Linked DNA regions of Mus musculus: all the other regions are reported to be linked to region 3. The links are microRNA targets in miRTarBase. Many come from high-throughput screens and were not tested one by one. Region 3 holds a microRNA gene; each other region holds the end of a gene's coding sequence.

Region 1 (4,245 bases), not on the chromosome of region 3:
ATGTAATCAATGTGGTAAGGCCTTTAAACAGATTGAAGGCCTTACCCAACACCAGAGAGTTCACACAGGGGAGAAACCCTATGAGTGTGTTGAATGTGGGAAAGCCTTTAGTCAGAAGTCACACCTCATCGTACACCAGAGAACTCATACAGGGGAGAAACCCTTTGAATGTTATGAGTGTGGAAAAGCCTTCAATGCAAAATCACAACTTGTTATTCATCAGAGATCCCACACTGGAGAGAAACCCTATGAATGTATTGAATGTGGTAAAGCCTTCAAGCAAAATGCCTCTCTTACCAAACATATGAAAATTCACTCAGAAGAACAATCTGAGGAAGAAGATTAATGTAGGAAACCTGACAACTGACTGGTTTGGTATTATTTAACCTTAAAGATGTTCTCAATTTGATGATGTTAGAATATCTTTTTTTAGGAAATCATTCCTGGTGATACATGAGAGAATTTGAATATGGATCTTTACATAAGATGGTAATAAAATTTAACCTTGATCCCAAACCTAAACAGAAAATACTGTATTTTTACACTTATTATAAATTGTCTCCATATTTAGATTAAAATACGAATCTTTTAAAAGAGTGAATAAGGAGATATCATAATCAGTAAAGTGCTTGTTAAGCAAGTACAGAGATCTGAATTCCATCCCTAAGGATTGATAAAAAGCTAGATGTGGGGGCATGCTCTTGCAATCTCACAATTGGGAAAGTTGAGACAGGAGAGTCCTGAGAACTCCTGACCAACCAGACTTATTTAATTTGCAAGCCATAGGTCACAAGAAAAAAGAACTGTTTTAAAAATAGGGTAGAGGGTTCCTGAGAAACAGTACTCAAGGTTGACACATGTACACACACAGACACACACAGACACACAGACACACACACAGACACACACACAGACACACACAGATACACACACACACACACACAGACACACACACACAGACACACACACAGTTGTGAAAATGTTAACGAATTAGAGCAACAAACAGTAAAATATGACACTTCATGAACTTTCTAGGTGTGTGCTTAAGCTCCACAGTTAGTATTTAATTTGTATTTATTCTTATTGCATACTTACCGCCTTGTGTAAAATACAAGTGAGGGTGAGGGTATCCTCTGGTATTGTCTAGCTTTCTTTGTTAATGTCTCTGTTAGCTTCTGAATTAGTAGAAAACTTTCGGGAGTTGTTTTGTTTTGTTTGAGACAATATCTCACCATATAGTCCTGGCTAGCCTGGAACTTGTTACGTGTACCAGGCTGGCCTTGAACTTGTTATGTAGACCAGGCTGACCTTGAACTCACAGAGATATGTCTGTCTCTGCCTCCCAAGTGCTAGATTTAAAGACTTCAGTAGAAAACTTTAAGGGGTTTTGTCTAGATTTTGTTAAGAGGTTCATAAAAAAGTGGAAAACAGCTGAAAATGTGTTGATAGTGAGTGATACTTGTTATATTGTTAAGTATAGAAAATGGATTGTTAAACCATCTATATAGTATGTTCTCATTGTGGACAGAGTGTGTATGTGTGTCCCTGTACTCTGTGTACATATATATGTGTTTATCCCCATATATTTGTATATGAATAGACTTTTTTTTAACCTATAAGAAAATTAATGGTGGCTTCCACTGAACACAAGAGTGCAGCATTGAGGTCTGACATGTTTATCATGTACATGTGTCTAATTCAAATATGTATTATATAAAAATACATTCATATGTGCAAATTAACACAATTTAAAACAATAGCTGAGTCTATTTCACAGTGTTATTTGAAAAAGTGACATAAGATTTCTATGCTCCTTTATGAACAATGAATTTAAGACATATGGCATTGAACCTTGATATTGAATTCACAAAGAATTTCCTATAGAGCACAGATTTTTGTTAACATGAGTCATAACTGTTAACAATATTTTATTTCTCTTATTTGCTATTAAAAACTAAAGATGAATGAAAGTGAAAGTGGTATTTTATTTTATATTCAGAATGCTAATTCACAAATGTCTTAGTCAAGAATTTCGGCTGTATTTCAACAAATGCCTCCACACCCCATTCTTGCCCAGTAGCAGATATTGTTGCTGGATCCCTTGCTCAGCTTCTCACAGAGTCTGCTTCAGAATGCTTGTTGGGAAAGCATTCCAGAAGGTAGTGTACATCAGTTTGACTTTTTCCAAGAGACCTGTCTGCCATTGCAAACTGTGTTAGCTAGGTTCTATTGCTGATAAGACACCATGACTAAAATCAACTTGGAGATGAGGAAGGGTTTATTTCATCTTGTAGCTTAGAGTTCATCCTCCAGGGAGGGCAAGGCAGGAACTGAAGGCAGGAACTTAGAGGTAAGAGGTTGTAAAGGAGTACTGCTTACTGGATTGCTTCTCAGAGCATGTTCAGCCTCCTTTATCATTAGGACTATCAGCCCAGGGTGGCAACTCCAATGGTGAGTGGGGTAGCACTTTTAAGTTGTTCTAATTGTTTTACATTGTTTTCTTTTATGTCAGTGATCTGTGTCTTAGTTGGGGTTTCATTGTTTTGAAGACATACCATGATCAAGCTAGCTCTTATAAAGGAAAGCAGTTCATTGGGGCTTGTTGTGAATGGGCCTGGTCCTGTTTGTATGTTAATTCTGCTTTCCTGGGAGGGGTTGTGGACAAGAAGTGAGTCATTCTCAAATGACTTCTTGTGGACCAATCTCCTAATGAATAAAGGAGCCAATCACTGGGCAGGTAGGCAGGACTTCTAGGTTGGAAGAGGGGAAGCAGGAGAGAGTTACAGCCCTTTTGGAATGGGAATAGCATATGGGTATGATGTAGCTGCTAGAGTTTTCTGGTACCATGGCAGATCTGCAAGGTTTGGACACTAGGGGAATCAGATTTTAATAAGGCTTACAAGATTAGGTTTTAGTTGTTGCATCCAGAGATTGAGTTACCATTGTTTATGAAATTACTTTGTGTTTTCCTTCACATGGCGGCTTGTCTGGATTCAAGAGAGAAAAAGGTACAGTGGCAAAGGATGGGTTTGCCAGATGTGCACTATAAACGCCATGGGAGATTTGAAGCAAGGGGTTGAGGTGGTAATGATGTATGTCAGCAGGTACCTAGCAAGCTGTCTCTTCTGTCTCCGACCAGCAGAAAAGAGCGACGACACAGCGTTCTTCTCAAAGTAGTTTATTCAGGAACCTTTCAACATGCAAGCAGGAATCTCTCACTAGCCCCCAATCGCAATCCCCTATATAACCTCTCAACCACGCCCCATCAGCCCAGCCCGAGTAATCTCAGTTCATTGGCCTTTGTTAAATGGCCTGATCTTGCATCATAGTGTGCCTGCACAGCTCTCAAGATGGATGTGGCTTATTTTCGGGTGTATGAGGAAGTCAGGTGCAAGTCATAAGACTTGGATGCAGTCCTGGGTGCCATCTTGGGACTACCATCACACCCACTCCCCACAGCAAGCTGGGTGGAAAGACTGTGGAGTTCTGAGTCAGAATCTTCATGAGATAAAAACAGGTCAGCCATTGCCTGCCAGTGCATGTCCAGCCAGACCTCTGGTACAGAAACACAAGTGTGGGAATGTACGGGATCTATTTTTTTTTTCTTTTTTAATATTTTCCACAACAGGAGCTGGCTTACAGTTTTAGAGGTTTAGTCCATTATCATCATGGTAGGAAACAAGGCAGTGTGCAGGCAGACATGGTACTGGAAATGTTGAGAGTTCTATCTCTTGATCCAAAGGCAGCCAGGAAGAGACTGTCTTCTTCAGGCATCCAGGAGGGGACTCCCATCCACACTGGGGTGGAACTTGAGCATAGGACCTCAAAACCCACTCCTACGGTGATGATTTTTCCCAACATGGTCAAACATCCTAATAGTGTCACTTCCCATGGGCAAATCATATTCAAACCATCACAATCTACAATCCACTCTTCTCTGAAAAAAAGTTCAAAACAAAAAAACCACACCTGGGCTGGGTGTGGGGAACGATGCCAGACAATGCCAGCCTGGACAAAATGGCTGGCCAAGGAGACCTAAAGCAATTTTCACTAAGTTCAGCTGCTTAAAGGGTTTTCTTTGTCACCTACTCATATTTAACCAAAATCTGAGCACAGCTTAGTGGTCATAATGTTTTATTGATACTAATAAAGTCATTGCAGGCAGTGCTTTTCTTCTGATGAACTGTGAATGGTTTAGGACTCATAGGGGTGTCTGTGTGACAAATTCTGATGTTCGGGGTCATT
Region 2 (4,245 bases), not on the chromosome of region 3:
GCTTTAGGTGTGTTCATGGAACATTTGTGTGTGTGTTAACTTTAGAGCAGTGTGCATTATTTTTTGAGTATGTTGAAGACCCTGCGAGACTGTGGCTGGAGGTGAGTCACTGTGTTTATTGTTGTGTTGTAGATATGAGCAAGACAGTGGACATGACAGTGGAAGCGAGGACGCCTGTTTTGATTCTTCACAGCCCTTTACATTAGTTACTATAGGCATGAAGAAATTTTTTATACCCAAGTCACCTACTTCCTCTAATGAACCAGAAAACAGAGTTCTCCCCATGCCAACGAGTATAGGGATTTTCCTTGACTGTGATAAAGGCAAAGTGAGCTTCTATGATATGGACCACATGAAATGCCTGTATGAGCGCCAGGTGGACTGTTCGCATACAATGTATCCGGCCTTTGCCTTGATGGGCAGCGGAGGAATTCAGCTTGAGGAAGCCATCACAGCAAAGTATCTGGAATATGAAGAGGATGTGTAGCTTGGACACCCCACGTGACTGATGAGGATAAGAACCGTGAACAAAGCCATGCCTTGATGTTAATCTAATTACATATCATTTACGTCTCTGTCACCACACCTGTTTGTACTGTGTGATTCTTTGTTTTGTCTTGTCCTGCTGTGACACACAGGGTCTTGCTGTGTAGTCCAGGCGGGCCTCAAACTCTGTTCTGTTATAGCCTCTGGAGGGCTAGGATTATAGGTGGGCACCACCATCCCCAGCTAGTGTATGGTTCTTAAAACTCAGAAGGACTTCACAACCTTGTCTCTTCCACGTCATTGTCCTACCTATTACAAATGGTGGGAGTGGAGGCTTTCTGTCTTAACTGGTCTAGAATAGATAACTTTACAATGGAAGTCCTTCTCTTTGGCCACAGGGACTCTAATTGATGTAAGTCTAATTGGTTATTCATGTCCCTTTGTTTGGGGGCTGGGGTGGGATACAAAGTATTTATTGTGGTTCTTTGAGCTTGTTTTTTTTTTTTTCCTTTTCATTTTGTATCATGTTCATGTCCAAAGAGAAGATATTTTTGAATGCTTACTGATAGAAACTAGTACTAAGCCATGTGTCTTGCATTTGATGTTAATAGAAAAATAAATTTATAGATAGGTAAAATGACAAAGGCCATAAAATGGTAGTATATTTAAGTAGAAAGTTGTGTATTTTAAAGTGTGTAACTACTGAGAATATTCATCGCCTGGCAAATGAATACTGCTTTTTTCCCTGTAGACCACAGACTGTATTAGTAAGGACATCTCTAACAGTGTCCTTGTTGTAATGCCCATTGTCTGGCACATGTAACAAGCATCGTTTCATATAAAAACACAGGGTTCTTGAACCCGTGCAACTTTTCACTACAATATAATTATTTCCAGGAAATGTTATCTTCAAATTTTCTTACTTTAGAAAATATTCATATTTATAGCAAAGAATTATTTTTCAGAATTACTAGGGAAGATGGACTGATAGTGAACACGTGTCTCTTTGTGTCTTGTGAATTTTATGGGTTTGGTACTTATGTTGTACATCAGGGTTTTATGGTTTTTGTTTACAAATCTGAGAAGTTCACTGCCCATTTTCAGCAGCATTGAAATACCAGACATGTTACATGTTACTACTGTCCAGTTGGATGGCATTATTTGTGGGCTCATTGTGTGGTCATAAGCACTTGTAGTGTGAATCAGTAAAGTACAAAATTCCTAGGAAATAATATGGAAAATCACAAGGATGTGTCTAGTCAGTTTTTATATCTTTTCTACATTGAATGTTAATTTCTGCAAAATTACCTTCTGATTATTTGAATTGCCTTTTTAAAAGTTAAAATGTCCAGACACTAAGACATGTTTTCAGCACTGATCATGTATGGAATGTTAACATTTTAGTAGAATAACCAAAGCTGTTTATTTTATTTATTTTTTCGAGGCAGGGTTTCTCTGTGTAGTCCTGGCTGTCCTGGAACTCACTCTGTAGACCAGGCTGGCCTTGAACTCAGAAATCTGCCTGCCTCTGCCTCCCAAGTGCTGGGATTAAAGGTGTGTGCCACCACTGCCCGGCTCTATTTGATTATTTTTAATGGAAGCCTGTTAGGCCAATCACACTGCGTCTGACGCAGCACTGACTGACACACACACACACCCCTAAGCTCGTGTAGAAAGGTGTGGAGGATTTGTGTTTAGTGATTGTCCTTCCTCTCCCATTTATATGTAGCACTTTATGACATAGGAAACAGAGAGAATGTGCAGTGTTACCTGGGTCATTGTGCAATAAAGCTGCTAGTGTCACCCGTGTGTGGGTTAGTGTGATACTCAATACTCATGTGAGCACATGTCCTGTAGACGTTTTAAAATATAAAGCTTTAACAGGAGTCAGAGAAGGAAGCTGTTCAAACACTGTATCACTCTATAGAAATTGCTTAGTGGAATTTCAATTTTTAATAAAAAATAAATAAATAAAGGGAAGCCAAGTGTAGTTATTCAAGTCTGCACTACAGGGATTTTTTACTCTGCTTTGTGGAAAACCGAAACAGAACACTTACTATAAGATGCTTTGTGGCACATGTTAATTTTTTTAATTAAAAAAGATTTATTCTTAATTACATGTATGCGAATGTGCATGTACACATGGATGTGAGCGCCCATGGAGGCCAGAAGTAGCGGATGCCCTGGCGCCAGAGTTAGAGGTGATTGTGATCTACCCAGCACTCGTGGAAAGGAACTGGAGACTCCTGGACCAGCAGTACTCACTCTTATTTTTATTTATTTTTTTAAAGATTTATTGATTTATTACATGTAAGTACACTGTAGCTGTCTTCAGACACTCCAGAAGAGGGAGTCAGATCTTATTACAGGTGGTTGTGAGCCACCATGTGGTTGCTGGGATTTGAACTCAGGACCTTCAGAAGAGCAGTCAGTGCTCTTAACTGCTGAGCCATCTCTCCAGTCCACAGTACTCTTAACCTCATATGTTAGTTTATTATTTTGAACATTTATTTAATTCTAGTATGATGCAGCTGATCTATTTCAATTGTCTGCTTATATTGTCATTTCTGGTCCACAGTTGATTACATTTTACCAGGTTTGCCTGTGTGCTTACGTGCAGGTGTGTGTGTGTGTGTGTGTGTGTGTGTGTGTGTGTGTGTGTGTGTATCAGAGAACAAGCTATGGAGAGTCAGTTCTTTTCTTTCACAGTATCTAACCTGGATTTTTAAACTCAGATCTCCAGACTGGCAGCAAGCACCTTAGCTCTTAGCTGACTCTAGATGGTTTCTTAACTGTTAACTTTTTTTATTTTTAAAGGCCAAGTACATTAAGGCTGGATTCCACTCATCTTTGTCTTATTTTCCATAAATTCCTTCCTCCTACCTTGGAGTGTAGAGACGCACTTGCCACCACTTAAGACGTACTAAACTCTCCATACGATTTTAATAAACCACACCTTGCACAACCCTGGATTTGCCTGTCTGCCTTTTGACTCAATCTTTAGCTGGTTTTCAGACAACAGGACTGAGGGTTTGTTTTTTTTTTTTCATAATGACTTGCTCATCCACTCCCCATTGGAGGGTTGTATTAATAATCTGAGGTTACTTCAGTTTGTTAATTAAAAAGCCTGACCTGTTTTCCGGGAAAGCAGGATAGTAGGGTTCTGGTCGATTTTTTTGTTATTACATAACACTGAAAAGCAGCTCCTGTGGAGTAAATGTAAGAACTTAGGTAGTAAACCTGACCATGACCAGATTGGCTGATAGCTCATGACGCTTGCTTCCCAGTGAACACAGATAACTTGAAGAGCTTGTTGAAAGCTGATTTTGATCTCTCAATCTCCTGTCCTTTGAAATGGGCAACTGATACACTTCTCTTAAATCGCTACCAGAGTTAAAATAGGGTGCACAGAAAGCTGTTAGCATAAAGCCTGGAATGGGTACTCAGCAGATAAGCATTTGAAGTGATTAATCCCACCCAGCAAATCTTTTAGTCAATTGTCGATATATTTTGCAAATAACCAACTCTAGTGTCTTAGTTAGGGTTTCTATTCCTGCACAAACATCATGACCAAGAAACAAGATGGGGAGGAAAGGGTTTATTTGGCTTACTCTTCCACATTGCTGTTCATCGCCAAAGGAAGTCAGGACTGGAACTCAAGCAGGTCAGGAAACAGGACTGATGCAGAGGCCATGGAGGGATGTTCCTTACCGGCTTGCTTCCCCTGGCTTGCTCAGCTTGTTTTCTTATAGAACCCAA
Region 3 (4,245 bases):
ATTAGAAACAACTCGAGGCTTTAGAATCAAGTTCAGAATGGACTAACAAGTGTCTAGAAGGAAGTGGAGAAAGAGCTGGCTGGCTAAATGCAGTTTTCCCTGTGGGTAGAAACTCCCAGCTCTACCACCCACTAGCAGTATGACCAAGCCTCAGTTTCTCCTGTAACCGCAATTGTTCTTGTAAAATGCTCAAAGGTTAACACAGTAAGCACTCCAGTGTCGCCCCCTCAGACTACGCCCCTTGATGCAATTGATCTTGGCCAGACTGCTCCATCCTTAGAGCCTCAGTATTCTTCCTGCAAAATGGGAGTAAGTGTATTCCTGCCTTAGTGATTATAAAGTGCAGTGCACTTGGTAGCACCATTCCCTAACCATTACTATCATCAACATTTTATTTTTCTTTTCTAGCTAAGGAGCCAGTCATACATTCAAAAGTTTTAAATCTCTGGATTGGGGCTGGGGGACGTCTTTGGAAGTTGGGAGTTTAAGATTAGTAGGAAAGGACTGGTAAGATTTAACAGATTAGAGAAGAAACCAGAAACCCAGAAAGTTCGAGGTGGGAAGGAGTGGGGCTTCTCCCTTTCCCATCCCACCCCGTAGTTTTATCTCTCTCCCCCGTTCCCGGGTAATCTTGTTTCTCACCAGTGCTGTCCTCTAGTCTGCCGCTCTTCAAGCCTAACCTGTGGACTAAGTAACGTGAGCCTTACTTTCTGGCCCTCCCGCAGTCAGGAGCAAGGACTACTTTAATCTTTACTCTTCCCAGGGATCCCGTTTCAAAGTCACCTGAAAGCCATTTCCTCTCTCTCTGCCCCGCCCCTCCCCGTAAATCACTAGGTGCTTGCTTTTCCCTGGGGCAGCTTTTTTTTTTTTTTTTTTTGAGGGCAGTGGTGGAGGAGGGGATTTTATAAGCTATTTAGGATTTTCACTTGTCTACACTTGGCGGTCTAAATGCTGAGTTACTGGGGTCGATTCTCCATTCCTGTTCCAAGAACCTGGTGCCATCGTTTAACGCAGGAGTCCTACTTCTTCTGTGATCTCACACTGGGCTCCCATCTCCTACCCCTCTTCATGGTGCGTACTGGGGACAGCATCTAATGCTACCTCCCCTAAGATCTTTACCAATGAAAGATTTATTCTTAGTGAGGTGTAGTAGCGCACACCTATAATTCTAGCACTCTGGGGGATCACTCAAGAGTTCTGGGCTAGCTTGGGCTACAAAGTGTGGGCCTGTTTCAAATCAAAAAATAAAATAAAAACAATAATTAGGGCGTGGTGGTGCACACCAGTAATCCCAGCACTCCGGAGATAGAGGGTGGAGAACCATTACTCTCAAGATTACCCTCTGCCAGTCTCAGATAATTGAAATCCTGCTTCAAAAACAAAAACCACACAAAAGATTTATGTTCTTGCTCAAAATCTAACTGGTTTGTATTCTATGTGCTTGTGCTAATCATCCCCCAATTTTCCCATCCCCTAATTTCCCGGTACATGCCTTTTGTTGATAGATCGCACTCAAAATGGGGTCCACTGACATTCAGGTTCCTCGATCAGTTTTTCTCATTAACAGTCCCACTGAGCGCCGCGCCCCGCCCCGCCCCAAGTTATGCGCTTCTTATCTCTTTCTCCTCAGAAGGTAAGATTTTACAACTGTAAAGAGCCACCGAAACCTAGTTTCGGCGAGGAATTCGAGACGTGCCTTTCTGACTCAGCGGTCGTGGTGACCTGCTCCAGTAGGACCAGGACGCCCTTGCCACCTAGACCTGCGCTTCTCCTGGGAAAGTCTAGGTGGCTGGGCTCCGAGTCCTCTCTGGTCGGAACCTGGTCTGGAGGCTTTCGTTGCCCTCTCGGCGTGATATCAGGGCGGTGGCACTAGAGTAACCCCACCACGTGCGCCTTGGGATCCCAGAGTTCCAGGTGGCAAGGGGAGGCGGCCAGCGGGACCCACACGGCGGGCCACGCGCGTTAATCATTAGCCACGGCGGCCGCTGTCTACAGCGGGAGCCACAGCTCGCTCGCACCGCCGCGAAGGTTCCCCCGGGCCCCCCAGAGCCGCCAATTGCTGGATCGCAGCCGCGAGCGCAGTCTCCACCCACTGGAAACATTCCTGGTCCGCCCCTCCCTGGCTCCCTCCCTCTCCCTCTCTCTCTCCCTCCCTCCCTCCCGCCGCAGCCTGGACTCCGGCCGCAACTTCCTGCCCGGTGCTGGGGAACCGTGCGCATTTCGGGGGTCCCCCGGCGTCTGGTGCTCGCAGCGAGCAGAGGCTGGGACCGCGGGGCGGCCAGCCGTGGGCGGGAGCGGCCGGCGGCCTCTGCCGCTTCCGAGAGCGACTTTCAAACTCGAGCCCGCTTCGCGGCGCCACCTGGGCAGCCCCGCGCGCCTGGCGCGTCGCGAGCCGGCGGGGCGGCCACCGCTTGGTGAGTGTCCCTAGGTTTGCCTTTCTCTCTTTGCCCATGCTCGATTGGCTGAGTGGCAGCGCTCTGCGGAGACCCCAGGCTAGCCCTCTGTGGGATGAGGACCTGGCCCCGAGCTGCCTCGGACACACTCGGAGGAGGTTGGGTCGCGGGAAGGTCGTAAGGGGAGTCACTTTTTATCCCCACCCCGGAAACCAAAGCAGCATAGGCTTTGCAGAGTTTGAAATCCGGGCAGCTCTCGACATTCCCGCCACCCCTTCCTTGTGTGCCCTGACGCCCGTGGGCTAGTGCTTGCCTGAGACTGTGGGCTCTTCTAGAAGGACTCGCCTCTGGTCCCGCCAGCCCAGGAGTGCGCAGGCACTCAGTCTGTTCTGGGTTGGTGCCACACCGTGCTTCTGGGAATCTCAGCTGCATGTCCAGGAGGATTAGAGTGGGTGTCAGAAGCCAAGTGTCCAGGAGCTGCAAATCTAGAGCCCCTTGATGCTGCCCCTAACAGCCTCTCCTTCACTCCCTTCAACTGGTTTGGTTATTCACACCCTTCTCTCAGACCTTTGATTTGGGAAGCTTCAAGCTTCAGTCGTTCAAGATGCTCCTTTGGTGGTAACGATTTATTCTGCGGCTACTTTTGAAAACAAAGGGGGGAAAAAAAAACCGGAACAAGCCGCATGATGGTTGGAGGGTGGAGAAAGCGGCGCTGCGAGGTGGTGCTAAAAGTTGGGTGAGAGTATATCGTCTAGAGTCGCTAAACTCTTGGTAGATTAAGGGCTGTTAAGATTGTTAACCCTCCCAGCAACCGATCAGTACTAGAGCACCTTACAGAGAACCCTAGTCTTAGGGTTCCCAGTCTTCCAAACTGTGCTTGTTCAAGAGTGCATTCCAGTCACAATGAACCCTTCAGAAATAATTAGTGTGGAGTAAAATGACAGCCTGAGAGGGAGAGGCGATGTTCCCTGCTGTGCCTGGCCTTCCCCAGTCCCTCTGCTAAACTGGAATCTTGTGTTATAGATGCTCAGCATAAAACCTAGGGACTAAATACCAGAAAGCCAACTGTGGCGCTGCTGTTATTCCTTATGGTTCTGGGCTCACTGGATGGCTCACAGACCCCATCTCTCATGTAGACAGACTACTAAATGCCTGCTTGCCTCTGCTGGCCGCACTCTCTGGACTTTCCCGCTGGTGCTGGAAATCCGCTTTCACCCCTTCACTTAGTCTGGGCTGATAAGGGTGGTAGTCTGTTTTAGAGTGGCCTTGGGGCTTTTCTATTGACTTTTTATCAGAGGTGGCCCGACTAGGAGAGTGGGAAGACCACTGGGCTGAGAGTCCGACAGGATTTTTGCTAGAGGTTTAATGCTGGCTGTATTGCGTCACATCAGAGACTGATCGGGTCTGAGGCTTTTTTTCTTACATGATTGGCCTGAAGCCAGATCTCACCCTCTCCTCACTCACTTATCTTTTCTGACTCAGTTTCCATACAGAGCAGCCTTTTTTCTTTATAGGGGATGTGGTAACAATAAAGGGGAGAAGGGTGTATGAGAAGTAGTCCATAAACTCCTATCAAAAAAAAAAAATAGCTGTGTAGTGGCTACAAGGAGCCCTTACATGTTTGCTGGTTATACCCCATGTGTGACACAGGAGATGGTGGACACCAGGAGCCAATTGTGGCAGTTTACACTCTCTCTGGCTTGTAATATCATAGTCCCAGAGTAAATATTGACTTTACCAAACCCGCTGCTATCTCAGGGTCACCGTGTTTATGCTTAGAACAGGCCAAAGGCCACGGCCTGAGCGATGGCCAGACCCGGAGGGAAGGGAGGAAGGTGCTGGTCCCAGATGT

Evidence for each region. Region 3 holds the annotated microRNA mmu-miR-5135 (AGGUCUAGGUGGCAAGGGCGUCCU, at 1,739-1,762, opposite strand). A microRNA usually pairs through its seed, bases 2 to 8, with sites in the 3' UTR of a target mRNA and lowers its output. Matches are read on the target gene's strand: a 7mer-m8 pairs with bases 2 to 8, a 7mer-A1 pairs with bases 2 to 7 and ends in A, and an 8mer does both.
Region 1: the mRNA of Zfp37 is a reported target of mmu-miR-5135. Seed matches in the 3' UTR shown: 7mer-A1 at 1,295-1,301.
Region 2: the mRNA of Trim36 is a reported target of mmu-miR-5135. Seed matches in the 3' UTR shown: 7mer-A1 at 1,235-1,241 and 7mer-A1 at 1,976-1,982.

The regions. Positions count from the first base shown.
Region 1 is chr4:62,187,265-62,191,509 of GRCm38, reverse strand. Zfp37 (zinc finger protein 37) reads left to right here. Exons shown (of 4, transcript NM_001290351.1): 4 at 1-1,973. The coding sequence ends at 346. Among named protein-coding and RNA genes, the nearest start is that of Zfp37, 19 kb to the left of the region's middle.
Region 2 is chr18:46,163,655-46,167,899 of GRCm38, reverse strand. Trim36 (tripartite motif-containing 36) reads left to right here. Exons shown (of 10, transcript NM_001170855.1): 10 at 133-2,600. The coding sequence ends at 487. Among named protein-coding and RNA genes, the nearest start is that of Gm52355, 23 kb to the right of the region's middle.
Region 3 is chr12:76,531,405-76,535,649 of GRCm38, forward strand. Mir5135 (microRNA 5135) reads right to left here and starts at 1,808; the gene lies at 1,730-1,808. It overlaps Plekhg3 (pleckstrin homology domain containing, family G (with RhoGef domain) member 3), which reads left to right and starts at 2,156. Exons shown (of 19, transcript NM_153804.4): 1 at 2,156-2,414.